Linked DNA regions of Cricetulus griseus. Each later gene encodes a partner of the first gene's protein in a complex. Links are inferred from orthologs where the notes say so. Each region holds a gene or a part of one and is shown on either strand. Other genes may lie near its edges.

The links.
Region 2: the proteins of Sin3a (region 1) and Suds3 are in contact, whole or in part, in an NMR structure (PDB 2N2H), measured with the Mus musculus proteins. The link is inferred for Cricetulus griseus from reciprocal best matches to the Homo sapiens genes SIN3A and SUDS3. Residues at the interface, in NP_001103821.1 of Mus musculus: Glu616, Glu619, Leu620, Val623, Arg672, Ile673, Tyr674, Ala675, Lys677, Asp680, Ile681, Ile691, Ala692, Ile695, Val696, Arg699, Met702, Lys703, Glu706, Trp707, Glu709, Ala710, Phe714; in NP_848737.3 of Mus musculus: Ala205, Leu207, Asn208, Tyr209, Leu210, Leu211, Gln215, Ile216, Glu218, Asp219, Leu220, Thr222, Leu223, Leu226.
Region 3: the proteins of Sin3a (region 1) and Sap25 are in contact, whole or in part, in an NMR structure (PDB 2RMS), measured with the Mus musculus proteins. The link is inferred for Cricetulus griseus from reciprocal best matches to the Homo sapiens genes SIN3A and SAP25. Residues at the interface, in NP_001103821.1 of Mus musculus: Leu121, Lys122, Val123, Ala126, Leu127, Leu130, Tyr144, Phe147, Leu148, Met151, Lys152, Phe154, Lys155, Thr161, Val164, Phe182, Phe185, Leu186, Pro187; in NP_001075431.2 of Mus musculus: Ala208, Glu209, Ile211, Ala212, Leu213, Ala214, Gly215, Leu216, Leu217, Gln218, Met219, Ser220, Glu223.

The regions. Positions count from the first base shown.
Region 1 is NC_048597.1:168,592,731-168,603,063, reverse strand, and holds the start of Sin3a (paired amphipathic helix protein Sin3a), read right to left. Parts: upstream 6,469-10,333; 5' UTR 6,443-6,468; intron 6,153-6,442; exon of another isoform or gene 6,133-6,152; intron 2,275-6,132; exon of another isoform or gene 2,138-2,274; intron 1,509-2,137; exon of another isoform or gene 1,375-1,508; intron 1,221-1,374; exon of another isoform or gene 1,018-1,220; intron 1-1,017. UniProt on the Homo sapiens protein: Acts as a transcriptional repressor. Corepressor for REST. Interacts with MXI1 to repress MYC responsive genes and antagonize MYC oncogenic activities. Also interacts with MXD1-MAX heterodimers to repress transcription by tethering SIN3A to DNA.
Region 2 is NC_048597.1:97,074,757-97,084,921, reverse strand, and holds the start of Suds3 (sin3 histone deacetylase corepressor complex component SDS3), read left to right. Parts: upstream 1-5,384; coding exon 5,385-5,633; intron 5,634-5,712; coding exon 5,713-5,791; intron 5,792-7,911; coding exon 7,912-7,981; intron 7,982-10,165.
Region 3 is NC_048597.1:116,541,867-116,551,433, forward strand, and holds Sap25 (histone deacetylase complex subunit SAP25), read left to right. Parts: upstream 1-5,361; 5' UTR 5,362-5,520; coding exon 5,521-5,663; intron 5,664-5,806; coding exon 5,807-5,904; intron 5,905-5,986; coding exon 5,987-6,090; intron 6,091-6,182; coding exon 6,183-6,315; intron 6,316-6,415; coding exon 6,416-6,513; intron 6,514-6,587; coding exon 6,588-6,887; 3' UTR 6,888-6,960; downstream 6,961-9,567. Other genes in the region: Lrch4 (leucine-rich repeat and calponin homology domain-containing protein 4), read left to right, coding at 833-969, 1,071-1,183, 1,301-1,400, 1,648-1,738, 1,828-1,904, 2,012-2,073, 2,172-2,291, 2,402-2,464 and 6 more; insulin receptor substrate 1, read right to left, coding at 8,062-9,113, 9,280-9,567. UniProt on the Homo sapiens protein: Involved in the transcriptional repression mediated by the mSIN3A but not the N-CoR corepressor complex.

The DNA.
Region 1 (10,333 bases):
TCAGGCTCTCCTGAATAAAGGACAAATCTCAAAACTTTTTTTAAATCTAGAATTTAATTGCAGTATGACTAAACATAGACCATGGGTTGGAAAGCTGGCTCAGTACAGAGAGGACCCTTGTCAGGTGGCTCACAACCACCTGTTAACATCAGCTACAGGGGATCTGACACTCTATTGTGACCTTTACAGGCACATGCACACCCTGGTGTAGGTACAAAACACACACACACACACACACACACACACACACACCAAATCTTTTTTAAAAAGTAGTTTAAACATTCTCATTCAGACACCAGTCTCATTCAGACGCATAAGAATTCAATGTTTACTTTTCATCAAGTTATTTCTCTAATATCCAACGATATCCCATCTAAGATGGTTGCCTATGCAATAAATTCATAATGGCCAAAGTAACTCTCCAACACAGGTTGGTAGGCTATGCCTCACAGATTTCATACAGCTCAACCTACTTTGTATCTAAAAAGAGCAACATTAACCTTTATGGACTATTACAGAAAAATCAAAAGAACACTAAATTCAAATTTACGTATGTAAAGCTAAGCTTATGTAACAAAACCTTCAGTCAAGAAATTAAGACTTCTTTTATTTATTTTATTTTTTTGGTTTTTCGAGGCAGGGTTTCTCTGTGTAGCTTTGGAGCCTATCCTGGCACTCGCTCTGTAGACCAGGCTGGCCTCGAACTCATAAGAGATCCGCCTGCCTCTGCCTCCCGAGTGCTGGGATTAAAGGCGTGCACCACCAACACCCGGCTAGAAATTAAGACTATTTTACTTAACAACAACAACAACAACAACAAAACCTCTTCGAAGCCAGCCAGGGATACAGAGTGAAAGCCCTAACTTAAAAAGAAAAAGAAAAAAGAATCAGGCCTAGTGCCTTAGATAAACTCCAACATGCTCAACCACACCATTAAAAAAAAAAAATCCTTTGTCAAAGACCTGTTTTTGAGATTAAAATGTAAATTTAATCCTTTGAGCAAAACTAAAATCTCACCTTTGTGAGCAGCTCGAAGCGCAAAACTGAGTTTAAAGTCCTAAAATACCAAAAACAGCCGCAAATTTTAGCTTATCTACCCACTACTCCTCTGATGCGAATCGCAAATTTTAGGCATCTGCCCACTACTCCTCTGATGCGAAGTCTCCGCCCGGTAAAGCCACAGTAGCTGAGCATCAAGAGAAGTCCAGGAAAGGTTGGCGCCCTCCACATTTCCAGCCCCCGATGCCTCTGCCCCTCCCCCACCAGCCACTGCCGCGGAAGCATGGGCACAGCACCAGCCGCACCCCACCGCAGGCACTCCTGAGGACGCTGAGCATCTCCTCCCAATAATTACGACTAAGAGGAGCAGCTGACCACGATTCTACACTCTCAGCTGTTACGGCACCATCCACGATGCTAGGAGCAAAGTAGAGAGGACTACTCTCTGGGCCCCGTCGCCCCAGGCAGAATAGGAGGAGGAGCCACAGCATGAAGTCCGAACACCTCCACCGCTCCGCGTCTGCAAGAGCCCCTCCCACCCAAAGGGACGGAAGGCGGGGCAGACACAGAGCCCCAACTCCAGGCCAGACGCCGACAGCGGGCTTTCCCCAGCGCTGCTTCACTGCCAAGGAGGCGGAAACCCCGGCGGGGGCGGGGCCGGAGGGGCGTGGCATCGCAGCCCCGAACGCGCCTTCCGGCCAACCGGATCCCACGAAGGCGGGGGAACACCGTCTTCACGCCCCCTCGCCGCCGCGCCCTAAAAGCAGCACGCGGGAGACCCCCTTCCTGTCCCGCACACCCCGCGGGCCCAAAGCAATGCAGCCCAAGGCCCCACCCACACGGAGGGGAGGAGGGGCGGGGCCGCAGCCGCGGGCATTAAGCGCGAGCCCGTCCCGCCCCTTTCTCCACCACCGCACGCGCGCCGGCCCCGCCTCTGATCGGCGGGACGAGGGCCCGCCCCTCCGTGCGCACCGGGACTACGCTCTCCTCCCCCTCCCGCACGGAGTGCGGCCCCGCTCCGCCCCCCATAGCCACGCACGGGAAGCCGAGGTCAGCCCCCCCGAAAAACACACGCCCTCCAGTCCTAGGTTACCCGCCACCCAGCTGCCGGGTGGACCGCGACGCGGCGTGCTCTCACCGCAAAAGCTCCAGCCACTCAGCCTGCGCGTCCCTCCCGGCGTGAGCCTCGCACCCAGCACGGAGGCCCCGGAACGGCGCGGGCACAGGCCCGCAAGAGCGGACTGGCAACCTCCTTTGCGCTCACGAAGCGGTCACAGGCCTGGGTGCCCAGACTGGGAAGGAGGGAGGGAGGGAGGGAAACTCTAAGGGGGGAAGGGGAGGGGGGAAGATGGAGAAACCGTCTCTGCCGCCTCTACCGCCGCGGCCGCTTCTCTGTTACCCGGGAAATCCCGCCCACTCCCAGCCCGCCCCGCCGAGGGAAGGCTTAACCTCGCTCCGCCACGGGATGTATTAGCCATCCGTCAAAGGTTTAGCCAATCACCACGCCCTACAGACCTACACCCGCCTCCTTCCTCGCTGGGAGGGGAGGGCGAGGCGCTCACCTTCTCCACGCCCCTATTGGCGGGGAGCGTCCCTAACTCAACCCCGCCTATTGGAGACTGATTGCCGAATCCCTCCCCCAGGCTGCAATATTATTGGAGGAAGAAAAGCACCTTGTCACATCTCATTGGAGAGTCCCATATATCCCTCCCCATTACCGCCCCAGCCACAGGCCTAACAAATCGGCTCCCGCCTCCGCCGGTCACCGCATTGGAAGGCTACCTTTGGTTCTCTCACAGCCCCAGGAAGGTAAGTAACCAATGTGGGGTAAAAATGTCCGTAAGTGAGACTGACTCCACCCACCACACTGCTGGGCCAGGCCCCGCCCCCAGCAATCTGATTGGATTATCTTGGCGCCGGTAGGAGCCGCCATTGGACACGGCGCCGGTCCAGGAAGGAGCCCATTCTGCCTTGCGCGAGGATGCTGAACCTTAGCAGTCCTTTTGTGGAATGTTTACACTAGAGACTGAAGCTCAAGAGTTCCAAGGCCCGAACTGGACATGGCTTGGAGCTCATCAGTCAAAACCCGAGGCTTTAGGATTTGAAGAGGAACAGCAGTAGTATTACCACCGCGGAGGACTTACCAAAACAATGACAGAGGATCTTATCCTTCCTACCCACTTAGCTTTACACTTTTCACTGTCTCCTAAATACAGCCAAGACCCAAATTAAGGTCTTGAGCTCTAAACTGATACACAAACCCAGAGATTACAAGCCAGTCGCTAGGGGTGGCCGCATACTGTGACACTCCGACAACTCCAATATGCAGCCCTCAGGGGGCGGAGACAACCCAGCGGAGGCCTTTAAATGTCACCGCCTGGGCAAGCCTCCGGAGGGCGGAGCAAGAGGCAAAATGAATTCCCTATTGGCAGGGTAGATCCAGAGACATTTTAGGCCAGGGAAACCGAGATGCAGAAAAGCTCAAACAGAGCACGGTATAAATAAACCTTGAGGATGCATTCATATTCAGAAGATGAGTAAAAATTCCAGTGTGTGTGTGAAGGGGTGGTCTTGAGAATGGCTGTTCAAAGCGAAGAGACTGTAATCCCAACTATCTGGGAGAATGAGGCAAGAATATTGCTTAAATTTAAGAACTCTAGACCAGCCTCTTTTTAAAAAATGAGGGGGCACCCATAGCTTCCTTGAATGCCTGAAGCACACAAGTGTTTTAAGATATCTAGCTCCTTTCATTTATTCATCAATAAGGTGTTGGCCCAACGCGGACGTTGCTTTGAGGGTGCTTTTGCTGCGCCATGAGGAACAGTTCCAGAACTAGTCTATCAGAGCTCTGCAGTTAAAAAAATGAATTCTCCCTAGAATTAAGTGTTCTTCCCCAAGTGATTACTGCACGGGGAAACGTTTCGCAAACCCAGTGCTGCCCTCCTGTAATCCTGAGAAGACTGCCATAAATAAGCGTTGGCAACAGGTGGGTCTGACTCCTAGCATGGCTCCATGCCGCGAGGCCATAATGAGTTGTGAACTACAAGAGTGGCCGACAGGTGGGAGAAGTCACACCGGTAACCAAGCCAAACCCTGCCCCTGGATAGGGCTCTAAAAATAAGAAAATCACTGAGTCAAACCGCCCAGAGGTTGAGAAAGCAGCGCTCCAGAACTGACAGATACCATGCAATGAACCGCCTCACCCACTACACTACCTACCATACAGCACTCCCACCATGGTATCAACAAACACCCCACCCCACCCCCGAATCCTTGCCAGAAATAGGCCTTCTAGACTTCCCTGGACTGCAAGAGACCGAAGTATCACAGATCTTGCCTAAGGTTCCATCACTAGGTTGTCATAATCAGATTCCGCCGACTAAGGACCACGACTGTCTTGCCAAGGGAATTAAGGATGCGGCCAATGTTCAAGCTTTCTCAAACTTAAATTTAAGGAAGTCAAGGGGCACGGAGAAAAACAGCACCGGTTGACCCGAACTCATTCCCTCCCCTCAATTCGGCAGACCCGGAGCTACACTTTGCAGAGCAACAACGTCAATTGTAAGGCTTCACCTCGAGGGCTACCAGATCTCTAGACTCGGAAGAATCTTTGTGTGCCTCCAAGGCTTTCCCCGCCCCCCTTACTAAGGGCGCGGAGCCTGAGACTTCCGGGCGGGAGGGAAGTTGCAGGGAGCTAGGCGGGCCGCAAACATGTGCCGAGCGCGCTCACGAGAAGCGGGGGCAGGGAGCAGGAGTACGTCCCCTCCTAGCTTGTCCTAGAAGGGGAAGGCCTATCCAATTCACCAATCAGAAGCAGGGGCGGGGGCTTGCACCTAGCAAAAGCCCCAGGAATCCTCCCTCCGCCCTTCGAAGAAGAAAAAATTTAGCAACTTAAACTCCAGTCCAGCCTCCCGATAGGCGGAGCTCTAGAGAATGTCATCCAATCTGTACACAAGAAGGGGAAAAAGGGACTCGCGTCCAACCAGTGGAAGACAAGAGAAGGCGGAGCCTCAGAGAGGCTGGAGTGGGTGGAAGAGGAAATGGCCCCGCCCCTCTCTGGTCCCCTCCAGGCCGGTTGCACAAGCTCCCCGCAGGAGATAGTAAACAGTCTGGGCCAGGCAGCAGAAACTGAGGTGGCCGCTTACTCTGAAGACTGCCCCTGAGCCTCCCCTCCCCTCACTATACCGCCACTGCCCGCACTTTGCGCCGGCGCCCCGCCTCTAGGCCCGCCGCCGCCATCCGGCTGACAGGCGCGCCCCTCCCCTCCCGCTGATGCATTTCCTTTTCCCTATTCCAAGCGTGGAGTCTGTTTTCCCAGTTTCCGACCTTCACTGCCCCTTTCAGGCCACCCCTTCGTGAGCGCGCGCGCGCGCACGGCTGCCCCCACCCCGTACGCGGCCCTGTGGCACGCAGCGGCACCTCGCGGAAAGAGGGAGCCCAGGCAGCGCACTACGCGGGGAGGGGGAGCAGTCGCCGCCGCCGTGAGGTGGGCGGGGAAGGAGGCAGCTCCATGTTTGCAAGGGGATCAGCTGGGGCCGCGAATCGAATCCGCCGAGTTCCGAGAGCTTTTCGACACTCAGCTAGAGCTCCGCGCCGAATCACAGCCTTTCCGGCTCTGGCGCCGAATACTTGCTAGATTGCCACGGTTCAGGAGTTCAGACACCGGCGCCTCCCGTGGTTAGTGGCCAGAACCCCTCCCGCCCCCAGTCTCCTCCTGCAAATACAGCATTGCTCCCGCCCCCAGAGTCCTTAACAACCGCGGGTCCAAGGTGGCGCGCCTCCCCAGAGCTCGCCCACCGACCCCTCCAAGTTTGGCGACAGAAACAAACCCTCGGGGCGGCTGCTGCACTCGCCCAGCGTGGTTAGCGGAGAAAGACCGCCGGCCCCGGCTTGCTCTAAACTCCAGCGGTCGACCAACTCCGGGACACCGTGAGCTCCGTGGGCCCGACCCACCAAGCTGCGGCCGCCGCCCCCTGCCGAGCCCGCGCGCCGCAGTCCGGGCCCTGTTCCATTCGCTGTACAGAAATCCCTCTTTTTTTCTTTATGCGATTTTTCTTTTAAAATATTTTTAAAGCATTACAAGAGCAGTTGGTCTCCGGTCGGCCCATTCCCCAATGCGTTGCCTAGACTTACCGAAACCGACTGCTTGGTAAATTAACTGGGTGGCGCGGCCGGCGGAAGGGCGACCCCAGGCCAGGCCGGCCCCCTCCCCACGGCTCCAGTCCGGCTTGGAAACACACTACGAGCGGGCGGCGCCAAGCGCTCTTCTTCCTGGCCTGCCCCTAGCCTACCTCGGCCGCGGGACTCCGAGACTCCTCGCAGCTCGGTCTTGGAGACCGCGGTACCCACACAGCTTGTGCCAGCCAAAGCAAGCAGCCAAGGAACTAGCCCCCCAAAAGACCGAAATTGGGGAGACCAAATTAAAAGCAGCTGTTTAACATACCTTCGGAACCAGGCGAGGAGTCCTGAATGGGAGGGAACGCCCCCCACTAGCCATTGGCTCTTCTGTACATACGTCAGCACTCTGGGTCCGCCTCCTCCCTCTCCCCGCCCCTTCCCCTTCATTGATCGCCCCTTGCCTCCACAAAAATAAAAATAAATAAATTAAACTAACCAGGAGTTGGATTCTCATCCGAAACAGAGGTTCTTACATCTCCCACACTGCCTCTTGAAATTTTTCGGAGACTTCGGACTAGTCCTTTTGAGATTCGGAGTTCCGCAGCGTGGAAGATGCATCTTCATTACCCGGCCTCAATTTCCTTCACACACACACAATCCATTTGGTGCTGGGTCAGGAGAAACGTGTAGCAAGCAGTCTGTGATCCTACCATCTGGACGCGCCAGATATCAGAAGCGAAGCAGGGTCCAACCTGGTTAGTACTTGGATTAGAGGCAGGCAGCTAGTGGCTGCAACATCTAGGCTTTACTGTTTGAACCCTATTTCCAGCCTACATTGTTAGGTGCCTTTCAGCTATGAAATCTGAAAACCGGGAAAACTGGCACTTCTCTGAGTATCCACGGGTAGAGGGCGGGAGCACCGGGTGTCGGTGAATCGGACATTTCACTGTATCTGCTACAGAGTGCAGATTTGTAAACAGGCTGAGATGTCCTTGATCCCCTCCAAACACTTCAGATCCAGATAGGTGCCACAGGAGGTAAGGCAAGGTTGTATGTGTGTGTGTGTGTGTGTGTGTGTGTGTGTGTGGTGTGTGCGTAAATCCAGTCACTCCAACATGAGGAATTGCGTTTAGCTATCAGCTGAACAAATTCTGAAAGTAGGCTGGACAAAAAGGATGCCAATAGTCAAGGAGGGAAGCGCAAAGGCTGTAATGTGGGTTTACAGACTTCAGAGGGGTATCTTGGGTCGGAGAATAGACTGGAGAAAGCAAAGGGAAATTATCCTCCTCACCACCCAATCAGAAAACTATCCTCACTTTCAACAATCCTCAGTTGAAGCTCCTTACCTGCCTCATTTGCTATTTATCATTAACTATTTATTCACAAGAGCTGAGCTGAGCAGAGCCGTGGCACACAATGTGAGCAAGAAACTATTTTGTTGTTGTTGTTTCCTTTTATTTGTTTTGTTTTTCAGGCAGGATCTCATGATCTCAAACTCATAGCAGATGTCATTAACTTCTTCCTCAGCCTCCCCAAGTACTTGGATTATAGCTGTGAACATGTTTTTTTGTGTGTGGGGGGGTGGGGGTTGTGTGTGTTTTTGTTTGTTGGGTTTTGTTTTGTTTTGTTGTGCTGGAAATCAAACCCAGGGCTTCATGTATGCTAGGCAAGCACTCTTCCAGCTGAGTGCTTGGTACAGCCCAGCCCCCAAGAAACACTTGTTTTAGAAGTCATTGAAGAAAGGGAGTTAACTGGGATATCAGGTAGGGTAATGAACAGGAAAGGATGCTCTGCCAGTTAGACAACTTCCAGTAACCTGAGTTACTTGAAAGAACTTTACCAAGCTTGGTATGATGACGAATGCTTGTCATTGCATCAGTTTGGAGGCAAAGGAAAGAAGACCTTGAGTCCAAAGCCAGCATAGGCTATATAGTAGACCTGGTATCATTTAAAGAGAGCCTATTTGAGGAAACCTCAAGGAAGAGTAGATAAATGGTTCAGTGTAGGTAATAGAAGAGGTAGCCAGTGTCCTTCTGTGGTTACTAGAGGGCTAGCATAGCCAATGATTGGTGGTGTTATACTCAAGTAAATCTCTTCTATTTTGGGGTGAAAGTGAGTACACAGAGGAGTCCGTGGAGATAATGTAAGGATTCTTCCCTTACTTAGAGTCCATGTGGGAAGCTGTCATTGAGGGAGACTGGGCAGGCAGGAAGAAGTACCAATCTAGGAAGGGCAGTGGTCATTCCAGCTGGTATATGGGAACTGGAATGTGAGTGGTAACTGCAAAAAACCAAGTAGAGAGGAAAGGTCAGGAGATGAGAACAATGGGTTCAGTATGAGGCCTGACAGGGCCATGGAAGTCACCGCTCATTCTTCCTAGATGAGGATCAACTTTTAGCTGAAGATAGAAACAAATACTGTATTAATGAGTTGAAGCACAGTAGTACTGCACAGAGAACATTAGGCAGAAAGTCCCATTGATGTTGGCTTCCATTTAGTTCATCCTTATCTGTGAGTCCACCTGCTCTAAGGATAACAATTCTTACTATGGTATGAGGATCAATATAATTACTGCCTAGTAAGGTTCTGAATCTCAGTGGAGGCCAGAAGCCTAGGCATTTGACTATTGTCCTGAAGAGCAAGTGGCATACTGTAGTTATGTAATTTGTGTGCACAAGCATGCACACATATGCTTATGTATGATTATGTGACCATAGACAGGTGTGTACACCAGTGCATATTTGAAGGATGTTAAGTGTCCTGCTATCAGCCTCTGCCTTATTCCCTTGAGGCAAGCTCTGTCCTGAATCTGGAACTAAGCTGGTGGCCAGCAAGCCCCAGTGATTCTTCTGCCTTCCCATCCCCTACTCTCCAGCTCTTGGGTTATAGGTATACATGTAAAAAGAAACCATACCAGTCTGAGTTTTTTGTTTTGTTTTTAAGAGACAGGGTTTCTCTATGTAGCCCTGGCTGTCCTGGAACTCACTCTGTATAGGAGAGGGCCTTGAACTCTGTCTGCCTCTGCCTCTGCCTCTGCCTCTGCCTCTGCTTCCCCAATGCTGGGATTAAAGGTGTGCACCACCACTGCCCAACCATACTGGGCTTTTTACATGGGGAATGGGAAGTTTAATTCAGGTCATCCTGCTTGTGCAGCAAATGCTCTTACTCAATGAGCCCTCTCTCTACCTTCATTATGGAGAAAGGAACACCCCTTGGATTGAGCTCTTTGAAAGGACAATTCACCTTTGGGGGGTCTCAGTATTCAGTATAGTCAGGGGCCCAGGAAGGGACCCAATGACTATTTCTGATTCAGTATTGGGTAGACATTATCCCGACCGTGCCAACGATTCTTCCCATTTCTCACTCCCCTAGTAGTGAAGGTACAATTGAATGGATCTGGATGAGTATCCTTGGAAAAAACATCAGGATGTGTTTGTGTGAAATACCCTGGTCGTTTTCTGTTGGACACTATTATCTGTGATTATAGATTAGCACATTGAAGCCTCAACCAGTAGAGGTACTTGCCTAAGTCCAAATCCTAAGTTTGTTCACTCCCCCGTATACTGTTTCTGCATACCATCCAAGTTGAGGCCTTTAGAAAGAACACCCTGCCTTCTCTCCTGATGCACAAACCTTACTTCCCTGCTTCTAACAGTACTTTGTCATCAGATAGTTGAGAAAAATTGTATTCAAAGAAACAAGATTTGCCTCCCAGCTACATACAGATATGGGTCTTTAATTCACAACATGTATGTTCAAACTGTCACCCTCCATCTACTTCATGGATATGACATACTCATTCTCATTCACAAAAAGGAACTCATTCACATACCAGTGTCTCTGGTCTATCTTCTCTTCCCAAGTACTGGAATTAAAAGCATCTTCCACCCATGTTGATTTCCATGGGTGCAGGAAATTGAACTCGGTTCTCCATTCTTGTGAGGCAAACACTTGACTATCTGTACAACCTGTCTCTCAGTCCTTAGCCTCCCACCACAACACACTTTTGGGTTTTTTTTGTTGGTGGTGGTGGTGGTGGTGGGTTTTTTTTTTTTTTTTTTTTTTTTTTTTTTTTGGACATCGTTTCACATAGCTCAGGCTGGGTTAGAATTCATGATGATCCTTCCCAAGCCTCCTTGAGTCCTCAGTGCTAGTAATAAAAATATGAGCACTTGGAACACAAATGTATTTAGCTCTTTTTAACTTTCAAAAAAAT
Region 2 (10,165 bases), about 72 Mb from region 1:
CACTGACAGGGACAGACTGCCAAATGAGAAAAAGTTTCTTAACTCCTTGTGGAGCAAAAACGAAAAACTAAAACCAAAACCAAAACAGTGCTTCAGGAACACACAGCATTAAAATTAACACCCTAATTAATCCAAAGCGAGGATGTTTATTCCAAAAGATGTCTTCCTCCAACTTCTTGGGATGGGGTCAAATGCAAGCCCCTCTAGTTTTCCCCCAGATTTGTCATCAATGAATGAATCCCCCAGCTGGAACTTCATAGTAAAGAGATGCGAAGTCAGCCTGCTGTTTACAAGAGGTGAGGCGCTAATCTAAGCTCCACAAGGCCCTTGGCCAGCCCTTGAGATCCATGTCTTTTACTCCCGGGCCCATCACATGATCCCCCTTCCAGCGTCCGGGAACTCAACCCTCAGGAAGACCTCGGGTTCATAGAAGTGGAACATCGGTGTCCAGGTGTCAGCATTGCTGCTGTCCCCACCCAATGCCACTGGGACCCAGGCTGCTGGTGTTTTTCCCCAGGCGCCTGCCTGGCTTGCCAGGTCAGAAAGCTACACTCACGCTCTACACGCTCTCGTGGTACCCCGCTCTTCGGTGCTGGCCCTGTGCTCTGGGTCCCTCAGCCCACACCCGTTTGTCTTGTCATTTCGTGAGGACCCCTCCTGCCCCCAGCTGTCCTAAACTTTCTTGAGGTCCTCTTCACATCCATTGAGAGGGCACCGTTTTCAGAACCACTGCCCTGGCCTCCCTTGAGGTTCTTTGCTTATTCTCTTGTAAGTCTCTCTTGGGTCCCCCTCCTTCATTCCGCTGCCTGGGTTCTCTCAAGTTCATTTGCTCAATCTGCAGTCTCGGTCCCTCTTAGTGTCTCCTCCGCTCATCCCACGGTTCCGGTCCCTCTCTGGGTCCGGTCCGTTCTTCTCACTGGACCATCTGGGGCTGATCTCCTCGTTCATCCCGCCGTCGCAGTCTCTCCGGGGTCCTCTCGCTCATCCCACTGGCCCGGGTCCCTCTCCAAGTCTCCTCTTTGATCCCACTGCCCACTCCCGTCTTGGGGTCCCCTTGCTCACCTGCGGTATTTCTCGGTGCCCTCTCATCTTGCTTTCCCCATTCCTCTCGGAGTCCCCTCTCACCCACGGTCCCACTCGGAGTCCCCTCCTCACTCCCCGTCCCGGTCCTTCCCGGTCCCCCGAAGCACTGGCAGATCCGCTAGCTAGCAACTCCTCTCCCGGGATGCTCGTGACCGCTGCGCCGGGTCCCCGCGCCGGGACTCCGGCTGTCACTCTGGCGCCCGCGCTCTCACCTCAGCGTTGTCACCCGTGGCCCGGACGCCGCGCGCCTCCTCTCCCTCGTGCCCCGAGTCGCTCTCGTGTTGGCTCCTCACGTGCTGGGTCCCCACGTGCAGCCTCCGCTCGAGAGCCCGCGTCGCGCCCCACTCTCCACGCAGGACCCTGGCTGCCGCCGCTGCTGCTGTCCGAGGTGCGGCTCCGCCAGGGGTGGCCAATCGCACCCGACTGCGCGGAGCGCGCCCCGCCCCCGCTCGGCCCCGCCCTCGACCCCGCCCCCAGCCGCACTCTGATAGGCTCTCTATTGACCTTCCCTGATCCCAGGCCTCGGGGGGGTTCTTGCCTCATATAGGCGTTCTATTAGACTTCCCTGGGAAGGCCGACCGGTCGATGGATCCAGGGGATTGGCGGATCTGGGGGAGTGGGCGGGTCCAGTGGGGGCGGGGCTCTCTTAAACGCGGAAGCTCTCTCAAATTGTGTTACCCGTGGCCCTCTAGGGTGCGGCCAGGCTTGTTTGTGCAGCACAGGGGTCAGAGTTCGTGGCTCTCTTCCCCATGCCTTGCCTTTTCTTGGGAGACCACCGTGGGAGAGCTTGTGGGACGGACCCGATCTCTTAGGTCTCTCGCTTAGGTCTTTCGCAACTCCTAGTCTCCCCCCCCTCAAGGCAAGCTTTCCTCCTGGGGGCTTGTAAATATTTCCTAGGTCTCAGACAGGGGGATGGCGTTTTCTTGCCTTGCGTTCAGTGGACGTCAGTTTACTGATGGAAAGGAGAGAAAAAAAAAAAAGCAAAACCCAAAAAACTGTAGACCAGATAAACACTCTATACAGCTAAGTACTTAACGCGGTCTGGACACATTTTGAAAAGTCAAGTCTTTCCATTCGTGGCGCGATGTGATGTGAACACCAATAACTAATAACTCTGCAGGCAGAGGCAGGAAGATCGCCTCAAGTTTGAGTTCAACCTGGGGTAGATAGCTAGACCCTGTCACAGAAGAAAAAAAAAGTGAAAAAAGAAATAATCATTTCGTGAGTTTTGATTATTATTGTTGTACAAGGATCTGGGGTAGGGAACCCCGTTAACTTTGGCAAGGTTCCAGCAAGCATATTCAGTTGAACCTCTTTCAGGGCCACAGGCTTTCAGGAACCAAAGGTGGAAGGACACTGAGTTCTGACCCCAAGTGCACCCTGCAATAACCTGGATCCGTCCTGAGCCACGCTGAAGCATAGTGTTTGCCAGGGATTAAAGTGCACCAGGACCAGTCTCATATTTTTGTGGAAATGGCTGTGTTGCTTCAGTTAACGGTAGAAGCTCAAAATAGCTTTCTGCAGGGGCACATTTTCACCCTAGGCCTTGGCAGACGTAGACACGCCTTATCGCTAAGTAAATGCTCTACAAACTTTTTTTTTCTTATTTATTTGTTTATCTAAGATTGGGTCTCACTGTGTAGCCCTAGAACTCTGCGTAGATAGTTTGGCCTTGGACTCAGAGATCTATCTGCCTGTCCCTGATGTGTGGTGGCCACCACACTTACCCCTCCCCCTTTTTAAAAAAGCATGTCATAAAACTGCTCTTTTCCCAAATTTGCATACTAAACTTTGTTTGCAAATCAAACTTCATCCCAACCACTGGGCACCCTTAAAATCTGGATGGTGGGAACACAGAGGCTTCCTGAGAAGGCCTGAAGTTGTGAACACAGGGCTCCAGGGTTTGAGTTTCAGGTCAAACTCTGAGGTAGGTATTTACTAAGCAGACTGACTGAGTACCATATTAGGGAGAGAAGCAGTGGTGGACTTTAAGGGGTGAAACTTGATTTTGAAGAAAACTTAGGCTTTATAGGCAAAGTTGGCTTATGGAACAAATAAATAAATAGATAAATAAAAGAATAAAAGTTGGCCAAGCCTAAAGTCACAAAGGGTTTTTAAAATGTAGTTTCCCTGTTCCAGAAGAGCATTTAATACATAAATTGCTCATTGGGCCAGCTCTGCTGTCTCCATGGAAGAAAAGGGGTAACTGTCATCACCCAGGTTTGTGTCTTTGTTATACACATACAACAGAAACCCATGACTATTAACGAAGGACAAGCAATCAGGGAGACAGAAATAAAAGCAAGCAAGATTACAAGAGAAGGGCCCAGCTTCTTGTAACCATTTAGTAACAAAACCAACTACTTTTTGATTCATTGTATCAATGAATTCTGATTTCAAAAATGTTGCCCTTCATTTTCCCCCCTTTGCTTTGTGAATAGCATTACTAATGGGAGCTCCAGTCCCTCAACGTGGAGTTAAGATAGTAGAGGTGATCCAACTCCAACAGCGGGTGGATACACACACACACACACACACACACACACACACACACACACACACACACACACACACACACACACACACACACACACTGACCTCATCCTCTGCAGGAGAGACCCCTCTGCAAACCTCTACTGAGGATGAGCTTGAAGAAAGACTCTTCTTACTGGGAAGGGGTTTCAGATCCTGGGACTTCTGGGAAACGCATCCAGCATTGCATTCTGGAAATTCTTGCATTTTACACAGAGGAAATATCTCTTACAAAGAGAACCAAGACTTAATTAAAACAAGGTAGTAAATGGGAGATGTCAGAATGAATGGGACCCAAAACAAGTGTTCTCCATTTTAGAAGTCTCTCTGGGGCCAATTTAATAAATTTGATCACAAAGGCTGTGAGAATCAGAAAGACTGTGTATTGGGTTCCACCCTGCCTTTCACTGCATTCTCGTCTGCCTGGATTTGTTACTTCTTCCGTTTTTCAGTGCAGATTTGAGTCAACTGAATGGTGTTACTGTGGCCACATCATCCCCACCTCCCCGCATTAGGAATTGAAGCTAGGGTTTCCAGCATACCAGGCAAGTGTTCTACCCAGCAGCATCCATGGCCCTTGTTTTTATTTTGTTTTCAGATATGGTCTCACTAAGCTGGCTGACCTTGATCTTGCTGTCCCTCCTGCTTTTATTTTCAAGAGTAGCTGGGATTATAGTCTTGACCCACTAAGCAGAGCCCACTTTTATTTATTTATTTAGGTTTTTCTAGACAATGTTTCTCTGTGTCGCTTTGGAGCCTGTCCTGGAACTTGCTTTGTAGACAAGGCTGGCCACATAGAGATCCACCTGCCTCTGCCTCCTGAGTCCTGGGAATTAAAGGCCTGCACCACCACTGACAGGCTTTTTTTTTTTTTTTAATTTAAAGCAAAACTGTAATACTGCGTTTCCCTTTTGGGGCGGTGGGGTGGGGTGAGGTACACAGCCAGGCAAATTAACAAATGCAGAAACTCTGTCTTCTTGCCTTTTTGTGTTTGTTCTCAATTCAGGATTTCTCTGTATGGCCCAGGCTGTCCTGGAACTCCTTTTGTAGACCAGGCTGGCCTCGAACTCAGAGATCTGCCTGCCCTGTGCTGGTACTACAACAGTGCGCCTCTATGCCCAGCGTTGGCTTTTGAATTTTAGCCAACGTATTTCCTGTAGGGAAATGCTTTATTTGCTCACTTGAAAATGAGCAGGTTAACTAGTTACTGGGTTAGGCAAAAGTACCTTAGAAATTATATTCGAGGAAACAGGAGGCAGCAGTCCCATGGGCAGCCTGGCTATGTAATTCTAAACTGATGCCACCGTTTTTTCTTATTTTTTTTTTTTTTATGGAGAATGATAGCTCTTTGATCATTTGTCAAATCAGGAAAACAGCTTACCCGGTAAATCTATTCAAAAGGAAGCACGAGGGAGGCCTGGGTACACTGGACACATAGGTTCACTGGACTCGGGGACGGAATGGCAGCAACTTGCCTTTAATTCTTAAGCCCCATTAAGGCAAGGGTGGAAGCAGACTCCTCATTTTCTGTATCACACACACTCTGGCTATCTAGGCTTCCACACCCACCAAAGGAACTGTTGATTTCGTTCATCTGCTTGAATAACAGACCTTGCCACCCATTCAGGGCTTTGCAAAGCCTCCGCCCATCAGGTCGCTTCCATCTCCACACACACTTTAGTTTTGACTCCGGGCGCCGCCTGGCGGCCGTCTCCGGAAGTGTCCTCCCAACCTCGGGGTCCTGACCGCAGGCAGGGCTGCCCACGGATATGCCTGACTTCAGCGACACCTCCCTTCGCCCCTCCCCCGTGGCCGGCCGATCGAGCATTCTAAAGACGACGATGAAGGAGGCGCTGCTTTGTGAGAGAACGTGGAGCCCGGCGTCTCACCCCTCGCCTCGAGGATGGCGGGATCAGGCTGTCTCCGGGCAGCCTCCGACCCGGAAGTGGCCGTCCGCGCGAGGCCCCCGTTGCCCAGCGCGGGCGCCGGGGGCGGAGCTCGGCACCAAGGGGCACCGGGTGTCCGCGGCTGTGGCTCCGCGAGGTGGGGGCCGTCCGGGGCGCAGCCAGGCGGCCGCGATCTCCGCGGGACACATAGGCGGCCCGAGCGACGAGCGAGGAGCTGGAGAGCGCCGAGGACGACGAGCGCAGCTGCCGGGGCCGCGAGTCCGACGAAGGTGCGGCCCGGGCTGGGATCGGAGCCCGGGGGCCTAGGGGGCAGGGGGCAGAAGTCGCCAGAGCTCTTGAGAACCAGGGGTCCCTTTAAGATTGTGTTCCCGTTCGGTGTCTGAGCTCCTTTCTGGGTGGCGGGGGAGAAAGTCATACTTCGGAGTGCACTTGGGTCTCAGTGATGCCCAGCGTCTCTCCTCGAAATGCTTAACCCCCTAGCTCCACTTGGGGACCTGGAACCAGCCGGGTGTAAGTATTCGTGTGGCTGGCACCCACCCCGGCTTTTGTGGCCTTAAGCTGCCCAGCGGCTTGTTTACCCACCTACTTGCAGGGTAGTATGGAGTCCTCACTTCCTGGGTAGGTTAAATGAAATCCGCTCTGCCTCTGTGAAGTGGAAGCATGGGAGTGGGGGGAGGTCGGGATTCGTCTTCAGTCCCCGAGTGTTTTGCATCTGCGTTATCGCTCCTCGGGTCTTCACTTCTCAGTCTGGACTTTGTTTACTGAGGAAGGAGCCAGCTAAGTGGGGGAGAAGCTAGGTAGAGAGGTGGAGACGGAGGGGAACCGGGGAGGCCTTTGAGTGGAGTGTAGGATTCTGGCACAAAGTCGGGCTGTAAAAAGCAAAAGCTACTTCAACTGTCTGCTAGGAGTATCGTCTTGCTCCTCTTAGTCTCTCTAGTTCTAAGGGACATAGCTGACTGGCTCTAGACAGGACCTCTGTGAAAGTGTCTCCCGACCCCCCCCCCCAAAAAAAAAAAGCGGCGTTCGCGGAGCAGAAAGTTGAAGGAACTGATTGCTTTTGGTTTAACTGAAGGCAAGGCTTTTAAACCAGGGATTTCGAAATGTGAAACGCTGCATTGCTTTTAATGACCACGAGGGGGCGATGTGAAGACAAAATTTGATCCCCTTGGATGTAGGGGCTATTGGATTCACCTATTTGCTCAAGACCTGTTTAAATTATTATTATTGTTGTTATTATTATTATTATTGTTGTTGTTGTTGTTATATATGGGGGCCTATAGAAATGGTTCATCCGTTTAGGGCGCTTGCTGATTTTTTTCAGAGGATCCGGGTTTTGATCTCGCGCACTGTCTATATGCAACTCCAGCTCCAAGGGCTCTAGTGCCTGCTGACCTCTGTGGGTACCAGGCAAGTTAAGTGGTGCACCCACATGCAGATGAAGCATTCATATACATAAAACGAAATAAATATAATTGAAAATGTTTTTTTAGTTAATTAATTTTTGTTTATGTGTATGTCTATGTGTCTGAGTTTATATGCACCACGTATGTACAGTTGCCCTTTGAAACCAGAAGAGGGTGCCAGATTTCCTGGAACTGGAGTTACTGGACAGTATAAACCATTTGATGTGGATGTTGGGGAACCAATCCCTATCCTCTGCAAAGAACAGCTTTCTTAACTGTACTAAGCCACGCCTCCAGCCCCTATTTTTGGCCATGCAAGTTTTGGATCAATTTTTCAATTTTATTTATTCATTTGTTTGTTTGCTTGTTTGTTTGGTTTTTTGAGATAGGGTTTCTCAGTGTGACAGCCCTAACTGTCTTGGAACTAGCTATGTAGACCAGGCTGGCCTCGAACTAACAGAGACCCACATGTCCCTGCCTCCAGAGTGCTGAGATTAAAGGCAAGTGCCACCATCACCTGGCTTGGACAATTTTTTAAAAATGATCTTCTTTCCTCCCCACCTCCCTTTTTTTAATCTGTTAACTTTGAAAACATATCAGTTTTTAGAACTGAATTTGCTGTGGGGACGGCCTCCTTTTTACCGTTTATATCTAATGTGTGGTGGGATGGGCATGTACGCACCCAGGTCCTCTCTGCACACCATTGCTGTGTGGCCTCCATCAGGTCTGCCTGTCTGCTGTGACCTCTTCCTGATTGTATGTCAAACAAAAGCAGATACTCAGCATAAATCCAAGATGCAAAAGGCATTGGCATTTTCTTCTTTGTTTTAACCACATTTACTGCACTTATTTTTGCTAGTAGGTTCATGCAGACCCGAAGTGGGTAGAAATTTATTATTCTCCCAGATGCCCATTAATTATGCTGTCACGATACCAGTTCTGTGACTTTTGATCTCAGCCGTCATTTCTTCCCTCATTTCACGCAGACACTGAGGACGCCAGTGAGACAGACCTGGCGAAGCACGATGAGGAAGACTACGTGGAGATGAAGGAGCAGTGAGTCCGGCTTTATGCCTTTTCCCTCTGGAATACAGAGTCGATTCAGTCTTCATAGAGACCCTGATTGTGACCTTAGTGTTTGCAAAGCTCACATTTCCTCATAATCTCCCCCCCTGGTCACATCTAAGAGTCTTCACCTGTTATGGGCTCTTCTGCCGGTATGCTAGCAAGAGCCATGATTGAAATAATGGGGGAGGGGGTGTGATGAGGCCATCATAGATCTGATTTGAAAGCTGGTGCCCAGAGAAATGGGTATCTTGCAGGCCCCTAGGCTGCATATTGTTGGCAATACTCTAGGTGTCCTGAGAATTCAGGAAAGCTGGGGTTGGAGCATTCTTTGAACTCTTCCTGCCATCCGTTCTGTTTGCTCTCACACATCCTCACTTAAGCCCCTCCTTTGTCTTCAGCCATGGTCACATGCGCCCAGAGAAACTAAAGCCCTGTGTGCTTTTTTTGGGTGGAGTGGGGGAAATGATTTTGAGACCAGGCTAGCCTCCAGCTCACAGGGTGCTGGGATTAAAGGTGTGCACCGCCACACCTGGCTTTGCTCTTTTTCTTTTTTTCTTCCTTCCTTCCTTCCTTCCTTCCTTCCTTCCTTCCTTCCTTCCTTTCTTTCTTTCTTTCTTTCTTTTCTGTTTTTTGTTTTGTTAAAATAAAGAAAAACATGAGCCTGGTGTTAGTGGCAGAGGCAGGAGGATCTCTGTGAGTTCCAGGCCAGCCTGGTCTATAGAGCTAGTTCCAGGACAGACTCCAAAACAATACAGAGAAACCCTGTTTTGATTTTTTTTTTTTTTTTTTTTTTTTTTTTTGGTTTTTCGAGACAGGGTTTCTCTGTGGCTTTGGAGTCTGTCCTGGAACTAGCTCTTGTAGACCAGGCTGGTCTCGAACTCACAGAGATCCGTCTGCCTCTGCCTCCCAAGTGTGGGATTAAAGGCGTGCGCCACCAATGCCCGGCGAAACCCTGTTTTGAAAAAACCAAAAAAAAAAAAAAAAAAAAAAAAAAAGAAAAGAAAAAAGAAAGAAAGAAAGAAAGAAAGAAAGAAAGAAAGAAAGAAAAAGAAAAATACTAGCAACCGCCAACAAGAAACAAACCTGGCTCTTGCCATGTTGCCACACTGGTCTCAAACTTTTGGGCTCCAGTTGTCCTTCTGCATCAGCCACCCACAGAGCTGGGGCTACAGGTGCCTGCCACTGTTCTGCCCCAAACTTTATCTGTGTCCAGGAAAGATGAGTTAGCCAGAGGGTATCACTCCATGGTTCAAAGTTATCTGGAAATCATTTTGTCACCCAGGGGTGCCCTGAACTCATCACAACCCTTCTGCTTCATACTCCTGAGTGCTGGATTACAGGTTGTGAGGCATTAGCCCAGTTTTTAGAAAGTGGTGATTGGCTCTATTTTGAGGCCCTGTTGGATCTATCTTGAGACCCTGTTGGGTCTGTCTTGGGACCCTTCCGCTCCTATAGGGCAGGTGGTCCACGTTTCTGACCCCCAGAGTCTCCTTTAAACAATGTGCTTGGCCACCTCTGGAATCTGACATTTTCTAGCTTTTGAACCCAAAGGAGCAACTCTGCCAGGTGTGGTCAGTGCTGAAACAAGGTTACATGAATAATTCATACATGTGTATTCTCAGTTGTGTCCCGGAACTCTGCCTGGCCTTTCTACTTTGCCAGCTTTTTACTGGTGGCATCTGGTGGCTTGTTTGAAATGGGTTGTCACAGACTCTTCTAGGATGTGATCACAATGGATCTGGTGTCGTCCCCGCTCCCCTTCCTTTATCATTCTGCAAGCATTCCATTTCTGAGAGGGCTCAGTGGCAAGAATTGGCTACTCCCTCTGTGTAGTGGGGCTTGGGTTCCACAGACTTCTCAGACACATGCCTTCTGGGCATCTCCCCATCTACCTCTTGTCCTTATCATGTTTCAGAAACAGTTTTTTTTTGTTTGTTTGTTTTTGTTTTTTTTAATAAAGATCCATTTATTTTTCTTTTTTGTGTATGGGTGTTTTACCTGCATGTTGTGTACCACATTTGCAGTGCCCTAGGAGGCCAGAAGAGGGCATTGGATCCCGTGGAACTGGAGTTACAGACTGCTGTCTTCTGCCACATAGGGGCAGGAACTGAACCCTGTCCTCTGGAAGGGCAGCCAGTGCTCTTAACCCCTGAGCCACCTCTCCAGCCTCCT
Region 3 (9,567 bases), about 52 Mb from region 1:
CACAGAACAAGAATGACAGATAGAAGGCCACTTCTGATGGCCCATTAATCTGTGAATCCATCCATGGAATAGCCCGTTCCAGTCATCCAGTCATGCAGAGAGACCCATGACCCACTACCTGCCTCCTATAGATCCCACCTCAGAACACTATTATCAGGGATTTGATGATTTAAGTATCTAACCCTGAGATTTAGTCCGAGCAGTAGGGCACAAATGTAGGGAGTTCTCCCTGGGCCATAAAAGATCCGGTCAAATGCTGCTTGAGTATGAAGGAACAGTGAATTCCAAGATCCTGAGCTGTGTGGAAAGTTTCATAAAAGAGGTAAAGCTTGAAAGACATGAGACTGGAAAATAGGCTTCCTTACTGATTGAGTGATTGATTGGTTGATTAATTGTGATTCTCATGTAGCTGAGGCTGGCCTTGAATTAACTCACTATCATGTAGCTGAGGCTGGCCTTGAACTGTGTGCCCTTCTGCACACCATTCCCACCCGACTTCAGCAGCCATGGCCATGTGCTATAGGAGGCTTTTATGCAGTGACCATCAGTTGGTTTGTCTTGTGCTGCTCACTTGAGAATGTAGAGTGGATTTCAGTGGGGGCGGGCAGGGGAGGAGGATTCATAGGTCTGTGCAGCAGCTGGAGTAGATCTGGCTCAGCTCAGATGTGAGTGGGGAGAGGAGCAGGTTTCTTCTGGGAAATGAGCTGAGCCAGCCAGGGTGGAGGGCTATGATGAAGCCAGGAGTGACTGGCTGGTCAGAGCCAAGGGCAAGGATGAGAACTCAAGGCCTCAGGCCTGCGCATCTCCTAACTCTCCCTTTGCTCATCCCTAGAGCTGGGGGACCTTCCTCTGGTCCGCCTGGATTTCTCCTGTAACCGTGTCTCCCGAATTCCGGTCTCCTTCTGCCGCCTCAGACACCTGCAGGTCATTCTGCTGGATAGCAACCCCCTACAGAGTCCACCTGCCCAGGTAAGGTGCAGCCTGGATGGACGTTGAGGACAGTGATGCTGTTAGGAAGCATGGGAGGCTTGGGGAGTCACCTCATTCTTATACATGTGCCCCTCGCACAGATCTGTCTGAAGGGAAAACTTCATATCTTCAAGTATTTAACAATGGAGGCCGGAAGGCGGGGAGCTGCCCTTGGGGACCTGGTCCCTTCCCATCCCCCAGGTTTTAGTCCTTGGTAAGGCCCTTGGTGAGGGAAGGAAGGTCCTTGGGACCAGAGACCACCCCTGGATTCCAGTGGGAGGGTGGGGGTGATGCCAGCATGGAGCTGATCAGGTCTCCCTGGCTGCTCCAGCCCTGCTGAAGACTTATTTCCGGGACGTCGGTATGATGGCGGCCTGGACTCGGGCTTCCATAGTGTTGACAGTGGCAGCAAGAGGTGGTCAGGAAATGAGGTAAGGACCTCCTTGGTAAGGACATTGAGGATGTCACCACTGGGAGGGACTCAGTACTGGGGACCTGTACCTGATACCCCCACCCCCCCAGTAAGAAGTCATGGCTGGGACTCCTCCTCACTATCCCCAGGAGGCTGGTGGCTCCCCACCTGACCCTAGTCTCAGACTCTTCAGGCCTGAACCCTTGTGGCCCTCAGCCCTGCAGATAGATTAGCACATGACCCATCTCTGCCTCTCTGCCTCAAAGTCCACAGATGATTTTTCAGAGCTGTCATTCCGGATCTCAGAGCTGGCCCGGGAGCCCCGGGTGCCCAGACAGCAGAGGGAAGATGGCTCTGGTGAGCAAGGGAGTCTGCCCAAGAGGGTGAAGGGTGAGTGTGGGCCTGGAAGCCCCTCCTGTTTGCTCACCCTGGCCCTGGCCCTGCAGGCGATGGAGACCTGGAGCAGGTTGACTTCATTGACAGCCATGTTCTGGGGGAAGATGAAGAGCGAAATGCAGCTGAGGTGAGGGCCCAGTTATGTCCCTGTCCAGGTGAAGGGGCACTGAATGGGGAAGTTGGTGCAACCCCGGGGGACCAGGCCTGTGTCAGCCTCTGCTCTTCTCTCTCCAGGAGCAGCTACCTTCTGAATTAAGCCTTGTAGCAGGGGATGTGGAGAGGACAGGGAGCGGCAGGTATTCCAACCCCAAACCCACTGGGCTGCCCCATACTCACCAGCCCTGGCACCTCCCCTTTACCTGACAAAGATCTCTCTTGTCCTGTCTTCTGCCAGGCGGGAGGAGCCTGCAGGGGAGGAGAGGCGGCACCCAGACACTTTGCAGTTGTGGCAGGAGCGGGAGCGGAGGCAGCAGCAACAACAGAGTGGGGGGTGGGGATCCCCCAGGAGGGACAGGTAAGGGCCTGGGGCTGGGATAGCTACAGACAGCAGGCAGATGAAAACCCTTCCCTTCTTCTGAATGTGTGGCCTGACTGTCCAGCTTATCCCTCATCTGCTTCTTCCAGTGTCCTGAAGCGGGGGACCAGAGCCACGGGTGCTTCGGCCTCATCCACACAGGCCACCTCCAAGTAGGTGTCCTCCCAAGATCTATCTCCCTACACCTTCCTCGTGGCCTTCTCTGAGTCCCTTCTTTTCCTTCAGTGGCCCACCGAAGTCCAGTGCTACCCAACTGGAAGTTTCAGGGGGGCAGGGAGCTCCTACGCCATCCTCCATCTCCCAGGAGCCCACCCCTGTGTCTGGACCAGGTAGGGATAGCATTTTAGATGGTGGCTTCGGGGTGCTTGGGACATAGAGGCCTGGGGGAAGAGTGGGCCACTGAGGAGTGTCTCTTGCCTGCCCTTGGCTTTCCCCCAGTGACAGCTCCTGTCCCCAGGCCACTGGGCTCCATTCAGAGACCAAACAGCTTCCTCTTCCGTTCATCCTCTCAGAGTGGCTCAGGTGAGTCTGCCCTCAGGACTCCTATGTTGTGGGACCTGTGTCTCTCAGGGCGTTATTCCTGTGTTTGTTTGTTTGATGTGTGCTGCTGTTTTGCCTGTATATACTCTTGTGTGCAGTGTCAAATCCCCTGGAACTGGAGTTACAGACAGCTGTGAGCTGCCATATGGGTGCTGGGAATTGAACCCAGGTTCTCTGGAAGAGCAACCAGTGCTGTTAAACTCTGAGCCAACTCTCCAGCCCCAGGGTGTTGTCCCTTTTTGTGAAAAATCTCCCAGGCAGGAGGTGGTATTGGTGTGAGACTGTTGGAGCTGGCTCCAAAGTTTATCAGTGAAGCAGAGCTGTCCCCATTCCCTTTACCTCCCAGGCCCTTCCTCTCCAGAGTCTATTGTGAGACCTCGGCCGTCTCCTCAGATTCTAGATGAGAAGGAACTCATGTCCCAACTTCGACAGGTGAGCAGAGTGGTATCTGTGTAGACAGAGGCCTGGCCCAGCATGGCACCTCATTCCCCTTTGTTTCCTCAGGACCCATACAGCCCTCAACTCCTCCTTGTCCCAGAACTGTCATCGAGGAGGGGAAGGGATGGAGTGACTTCTCTGTTGATCCCACCTGCTTCTCTTGTCTCTGCTTCCAGGTCCTTGAGTCACGGCTGCAGCAGCCCCTGCCTGAGGACCTGACGGAGGCTCTCGCCAGTGGGGTCATCCTCTGCCAGTTGGCCAACCAGCTACGGCCTCGCTCTGTACCCTTCATTCATGTGCCCTCACCTGCTGTGGTCAGTGGGAGCAGGAGGAGGGAGGGGGTGGGGCAAGACTGGGGCTGTGCCTTTCCAACTCTTCTATTCCCTCCACCCCCAGCCAAAGCTCAGTGCCCTCAAGTCTCGGAAGAATGTAGAGAGTTTCTTAGAAGCCTGTCGGAAGATGGGTGTCCCTGAGGTATGGGGCCACTCTGCTCTGGGCTCAGCTGAACACCATGCATGAGGGGTGGGGTTCAATCCACTGGGCATCTAATTCTACAGGAAGCCTGTGTCCTGGGCCCACCCCTCACAGTCCTGCCCTGCTCTCCCTCCTGTCTCCCTGTCCTGCATGTCTGCTTGTTGGTATGGCTCTGGCTGTGGTCCTGGTTTGTGAAGGCAAGGGTGGGAAGGTCTGTGGCTCGATGCTTCTAACATGTGTCATTTGCCCTTGTCCATTTGCCCTGCCCTCCCTTCCCAGGCTGACCTGTGCTCGCCCTCGGATCTCCTCCGGGGCACCACCCAGGGGCTTCGGACCACACTGGAGGCTGTGATCCTGGCTGGGGGCAAGGCCCCCCTCCCAGCCCAGCCCTCCTCTGGTCTGGGTGGCTTCCTCCTCTTCTACGTGGCCTCCATGCTGCTGCTCTATGCCGTGTACACTCGGCTCCTGGGCTCCTAGGACCCACGCTGCCCTTCATTCCCTACCTTCTATTTATAAGTCCTCCTGTTCAACCATGTCCCCACCGGTGGTGCCTTCAGCCCCTACCAAAGACACTAGTGTACCCCTCACAGACACTGACCTCAGAAGCCCCACTCTAGTGCCCACAGTAGCCCTTTACCCCACTAGTGCTGATGGTGCCTTCATGTCCTCCCACTAGCCAGCCCTCTGTCCCCCAGAGGGATGACAGACCTTGGCTGTTTCCCTTCTCACCTCCCTCCCCCTACTGGCTGCTATGGGGGAGCTAAATTATCTCTATTTTGTAGAGAGAGAGAACTCTATATTTGTAGGGGATGTGGGCCCATTATGGGCCCCTGGTTCTGTGTATAAATTGTATAGATTGTCACTTTTGTGTGTGCTGTGTGAGCTCCTGCTGCAGCCAGGCCTTGTCCTGCCTGGGCTCCGTTTATGTCAGCCTGCCTATACAAGCATTTCCCTTTGGAAATGACAGGCCTCTCCTGCCCCTGAGCCTTCTGTGTTACCACCCTTCTGTCATTTGCTGACAGCTTCCATGTGTCTACCAGGAGCGTGCCCCCACTCCCTCCACCCCGCCAGCCTTGCTTGGGGAATGCCAGGGGAAAACTTAACCTGGGCCCCTCCCCCCAGGAGTCCCTGTGCCAGCCCCACCACATCCTGGAAGAGGAGGGGGCCCCTGGAAGGGGCCTCCCTCACATCGCTGCTGTCCTTCACGCACTTCTGGAACAACCTTAGGGGTAGAGGTTAGGGCTCTTGGCCCCAGCCACCACCGGAGCTGTCCTGGGAACAGATGACACCTGGGCCCTGCCAATTAACAAGGACTTGGTGACCACGGCCCTGTGTGTAGCACTGCGCTTGGGTATCTGCCTGCCCTTAGGCTGCTTCGGGTGCAGACCCCGGTCTGGGTGAAGAATGTTGTGTCAAACACAATAAAGAAAAGCCCAAAGGCCTGTAGGTTGGCCCTCAGCTGTGTACCTGTCTGTGAGTGCGCGAGCTTCTTGGGTACATGGGCCCTACTGTGGGTCCCAGGGTAATCTGATGTTTCTGTGCTGGGTAGAGGGGCTGCAAGGGCACAAGTGCCCCATGGCTCTGCCGCCAGGGGGAGCCCTTGAGAACCTGGCGGGAGCGTGCCACGTGGCTGTAGAAACTGGCGCAGGCGTCGTGGCGACACCTCTGAGGTAGGCTAAGGACTTGGGCGCCTGTGCAGTCAGGACCCCACGCGGGCGCAGGGGTGGGTATTGCCTGGCGCTCCACCAGACACAGGATGCTGCCCTGGCTTGGGCCGTGGGGCACCGGCCAGCAGGAGGCCAACGAGGAGGCAGGCCTGTCCACGGGCAGTGACCACGGCGGGGACTGGAGCTGTGGAGAGGAAACCGCGGAAAAGCCAGGACCGCCGGCGCAGGACAGGTGAGGGCTTGGTGGGCCGCTAGGAGGCGCGATGGGCGCTTTCGGAGGTCCGTGCTGGGAAATGGGTTGCTGGTCCTGTGACTGACTTAAGCCAGCCCTGGGGAGGGAAGGGAGTGGAAGAGCATGTCCTTCCCTTCACACAGTCCACAGCCCCAGGCCCTCAGCCCATCTGAGCCCGGAAGAAAGCTGCCGCCTCCGACCTCCAATCACCTGGCTCCTGAGCGGACTGTGGAAGCCCCAGGTAGGCACCAGATCTTGCTGTTTACACCCACAAAGCCCCAGAGATTTAGAGCCTGTTCTACTCTTGTCTCCTTTCTTCGCAGTACCTCTTTCTCCCCAGATGACTTCCCAGGCCACCCCCTCAAGGATGACCCCGCTGCCACTTTGGGATCCCATTCACGAGGCTAATGCAAGACCTCAGCTGGTGGTGAGTTGGGGGATCCGAGGCTCAGTCACCAGGTAGCAGAGGTGCCATAAGAGAGATGGAGCCACTCAACAGTCACTTCCTGTTCTCCACAGGGGCCCAGCTGTGGGTCAGGCGCATCTTTGTCCGGCAGGACACTGTGTCATCCTTCCTGGCCTATGTATGATGACTGGGGCAGGGTCCCTACCTCAGGGCATCCAGAAGAAGCACAAGTGTCCAAGGATACAGGTACTTCTCTGGCCCCTCACCTGTTGGATGTTTCTGGGGCAGCTGCAGTGAGGGTTAACATAGGCCAAGGCCACCAAGCTAGCAGGCTCTCCTCCTTTAGGGCTCCCAGTGACAGGCTATGAAGATGTCTTTCTCTTGGACCCTCTGCTACCCTGTGGGCAGCGTGTTCCCCTGTACCTGTCCAAGCCCCCTCAGCAGGTAAGAGTGAGCCTCCCTCCTTTCTTCCTCCAAGCAAGGCCTGGGGGGATGAACTTCCCTTCCTGTTTCCTCAGGCAGTGGGCACTCGGAAGCTGCTGCTCCCACCCCCCATCATGTCCTCGTCTGTGCGCCCCTCCTCATCCCAGGCCTGCTCTTCCACCTGGCTCAGTGAGGCAGAGATGATCGCCCTGACTGGCCTGCTGCAGATGAGCCAGGGAGAGCTGAGACCTAACTCCTTGGCAAGCCCTCTGACCTCTACCAGCTGCCAAGACCCTGGCTCTGCCTCTGAAGACCCAGGCCCCAGTGGTGGCCAGAGCTGTTCTGGAAGCACTGATGCATGTCCCACACAGACCCCAGATACCCACTGTCCATAGTGCCTTCCCTCAGCTAGTTCTGGCTTCTCCCCCGAGCTGTTTTGCTGACAATAAATCACCGTTAGTTTGCAAACCAGGCTCTGTGCATCAGGCGACACAGCGGGGCCTGGGATGGGGAGGCAGGTTGGGTTCCTTCAAACCACTACAGTCACTTGCCTTTCCTTCAAGTCTCCTTTACTCATTGGTCACCTACTACTTGGGGTGGGGAAATCCATTCAGCCAAGACAGTCTGGGTGCAGAGCACCTTTAATGGGTGGGTTGGGTCCACAGTTCTCGATTGGGCTGCACTCTAGGAAGCAAGGACTTAGTCAGCTCCGCCAGGCCAAGAGAAGGGCCAGGTGAGCCTGACTGGTACCAGAGGAGGACTTAAGAGGCCAGGTTCCTTGGGGGAGAGGAACACTAAACATGGTCCCTGATGCTCCCATCATTTTTGAGCCAGGTCCGTAGGAGTTCATCTCTGGCTTGAAAACATTAAGTGAGGATAGCTCTTGGGTTCAGGGGACACAATGACATCTAGCTCCCAATATGTGAGAAGACAGAGCTGTCCAAATTGGGGTGGTGGTCTTCCCCCATGGTATGGCCACAGCTAGCCTGAGATTGATTCTGTAGGAATTCCTCAGATAAGATCAGGGTCTCAGATGAAAAGGCCCCAAACTTTGTAAGGTTTGGGGGCTTTCTATTTGGTTGGTTGGGTTTTTTTGGGTTGGGACAGAGAGAGATTCTAGAACTTTCTCTCTTTAAAAGAATCTAATTTGGGGGCTGGAGAAGATGGCTCAGAGGTTGAGAGCACTGACTGTTCTTCCAGAGGTCCTGAGTTCAATTCCCAGCAACCACATGGTGGCTCACTACCAGCTTGTTATGAGATCTGGTGCCCTCTTCCGTCCTGCAGGCATATATGCAGACAGAACACTGTATGCATAATAAATTTTTAAAAACCCTTTAAAATTAAAAAAAAAACTAATTTCTTGGGAGAACCTCTTCCTGAGGGTTTCTTAGGTGACACATAGCTGGGAGTGACAGAGCAGACAAGGGGCAGCATAGCCGCTTACAAGGGATGTGGTGACCTCAGGGTCCCTTGCTCCCCTGTGCAGGAGCTGAAGTGAACACTAGTAACTCTTTCTCTCTCCATTGGCCAATGCCTGGGTCTCCTCCCCTGACATCTCCCCCAAAAGTTCTAGAACTTGATGCTGGCATAACTATTTGGACTATCCTCAGAGACTGCTCCAGGCACCTCCAAGGGCGGGACTAGGTCCAGGTCCACATAGTTGAGGCAGCTATCCAGGGCCCCTGGCTTAGCACTGTTCATTCCTACAGAGTCTGGGATGTACATGTAATCCCCAGATAGTTCTGAAAGTTGGGAAGAGCGGGGCTGAGCCTCTGTGGGTCCCCATCTGTCCCTAATGCTGCAGGGGGCACCCTGATGCCCAAGTTCAGGCTCCCTGGCCTTGAGCTCGTAGTAAAAAGACCCTGGTAAAAATCTATTCATGGGCACGTACTCTGTGCCCTCACAGTCCTGAAGTGACTTGCCAGAATCTACCCTGGCAGGGGCGGGAGGAAGGCTTGGGGGTGCCATCCACATGTAGTCACCAGCCTTCCCTCCCATGTGCACATAGTCATCCCTGACGCCCATGGTGATATAGTCCCCGCCCAGATCTAGACCCTTGTAGGAGGGTGTGGGCCCCGTCCTTTCCAAGGTCTTGCAGTCTTGCTTTGCTCTCTCACCCGGGCTTTTTGGTTGCGTTACAGAAGCAGGGGTTTCGTATGTTGTCGGGGCAGGGGCTGCAGAAGCACTGTTTGGAAGATCTCCAGATGGTAGCTCAGCCTTGCCACTGGTTGCACTGCTCCCCAGCCTCTTCATGGCAGCCAGGACGGTCTCATGAATGCTTTGGGCCACCACTGCATCAGGTGCCTGCATCCACAGCTCCCCGGGACCTGTGGGCGCTGATCGCCCGAGTTCCAGGAAGAAGAAGGAGTCTGCGTGGCCACAGCGGCGCACGCTGAGCAAGGACAGACGCAGGGCGGGTGGTGGCGATGCCCGGCTGTCTTTGGAGCCTTTGCTTCCTGGCTTCCGCAGGAGGCTCAGGGCCCCAGAACCCAGGCACAGGCGATAGCTGCCGCTGCTCAGGCCTTGTACACGCCCCAGCCCCTTGGACCTCAGTGTCACAGGCCAGACGTCCTGGAACGGGGCGAAGATCCAAGACTCAGGGGCCTCTTGGGGACTGAGACCTGGAGAGAATGGGCAAGTCACTGGGAAGCAGGGATTGGGGGTCACCGTGTCCCAGGAAACCAAAACGTGCAAGTTTAAGATTTGAACCTCTGATGATCTGGGGGAGACGGGTTCTGGATAAGCTAAGTCGGCAACCCCCTGCCCTCCCTGTCGCCCAGGGCTCACCCATAGCGGTGGCAGCAGCTGCCGCGGCCGAGGCGCGCACCTCCAGGAGGGCGCTGTACCATGCTTGCTGCTCAGCTTCGCTGGCCGCCGCTACGCCCAGGCTGCTGTCGCTGGTGTAGACGACGATGAGGTGGCGCTGGCGGGCATCCGCGCGCTTGCTGATAGTGCAGGCGCCCTCCAGGCTCACACTGCGCCGGGGTCGAGGTGGGCGGCAGCCGCTGGCGAGGAACTTCTTCTCGTTCTCGTAGCACTCCAGACGCGGAGGGTCAGCACGCAGGACGAAGAAGC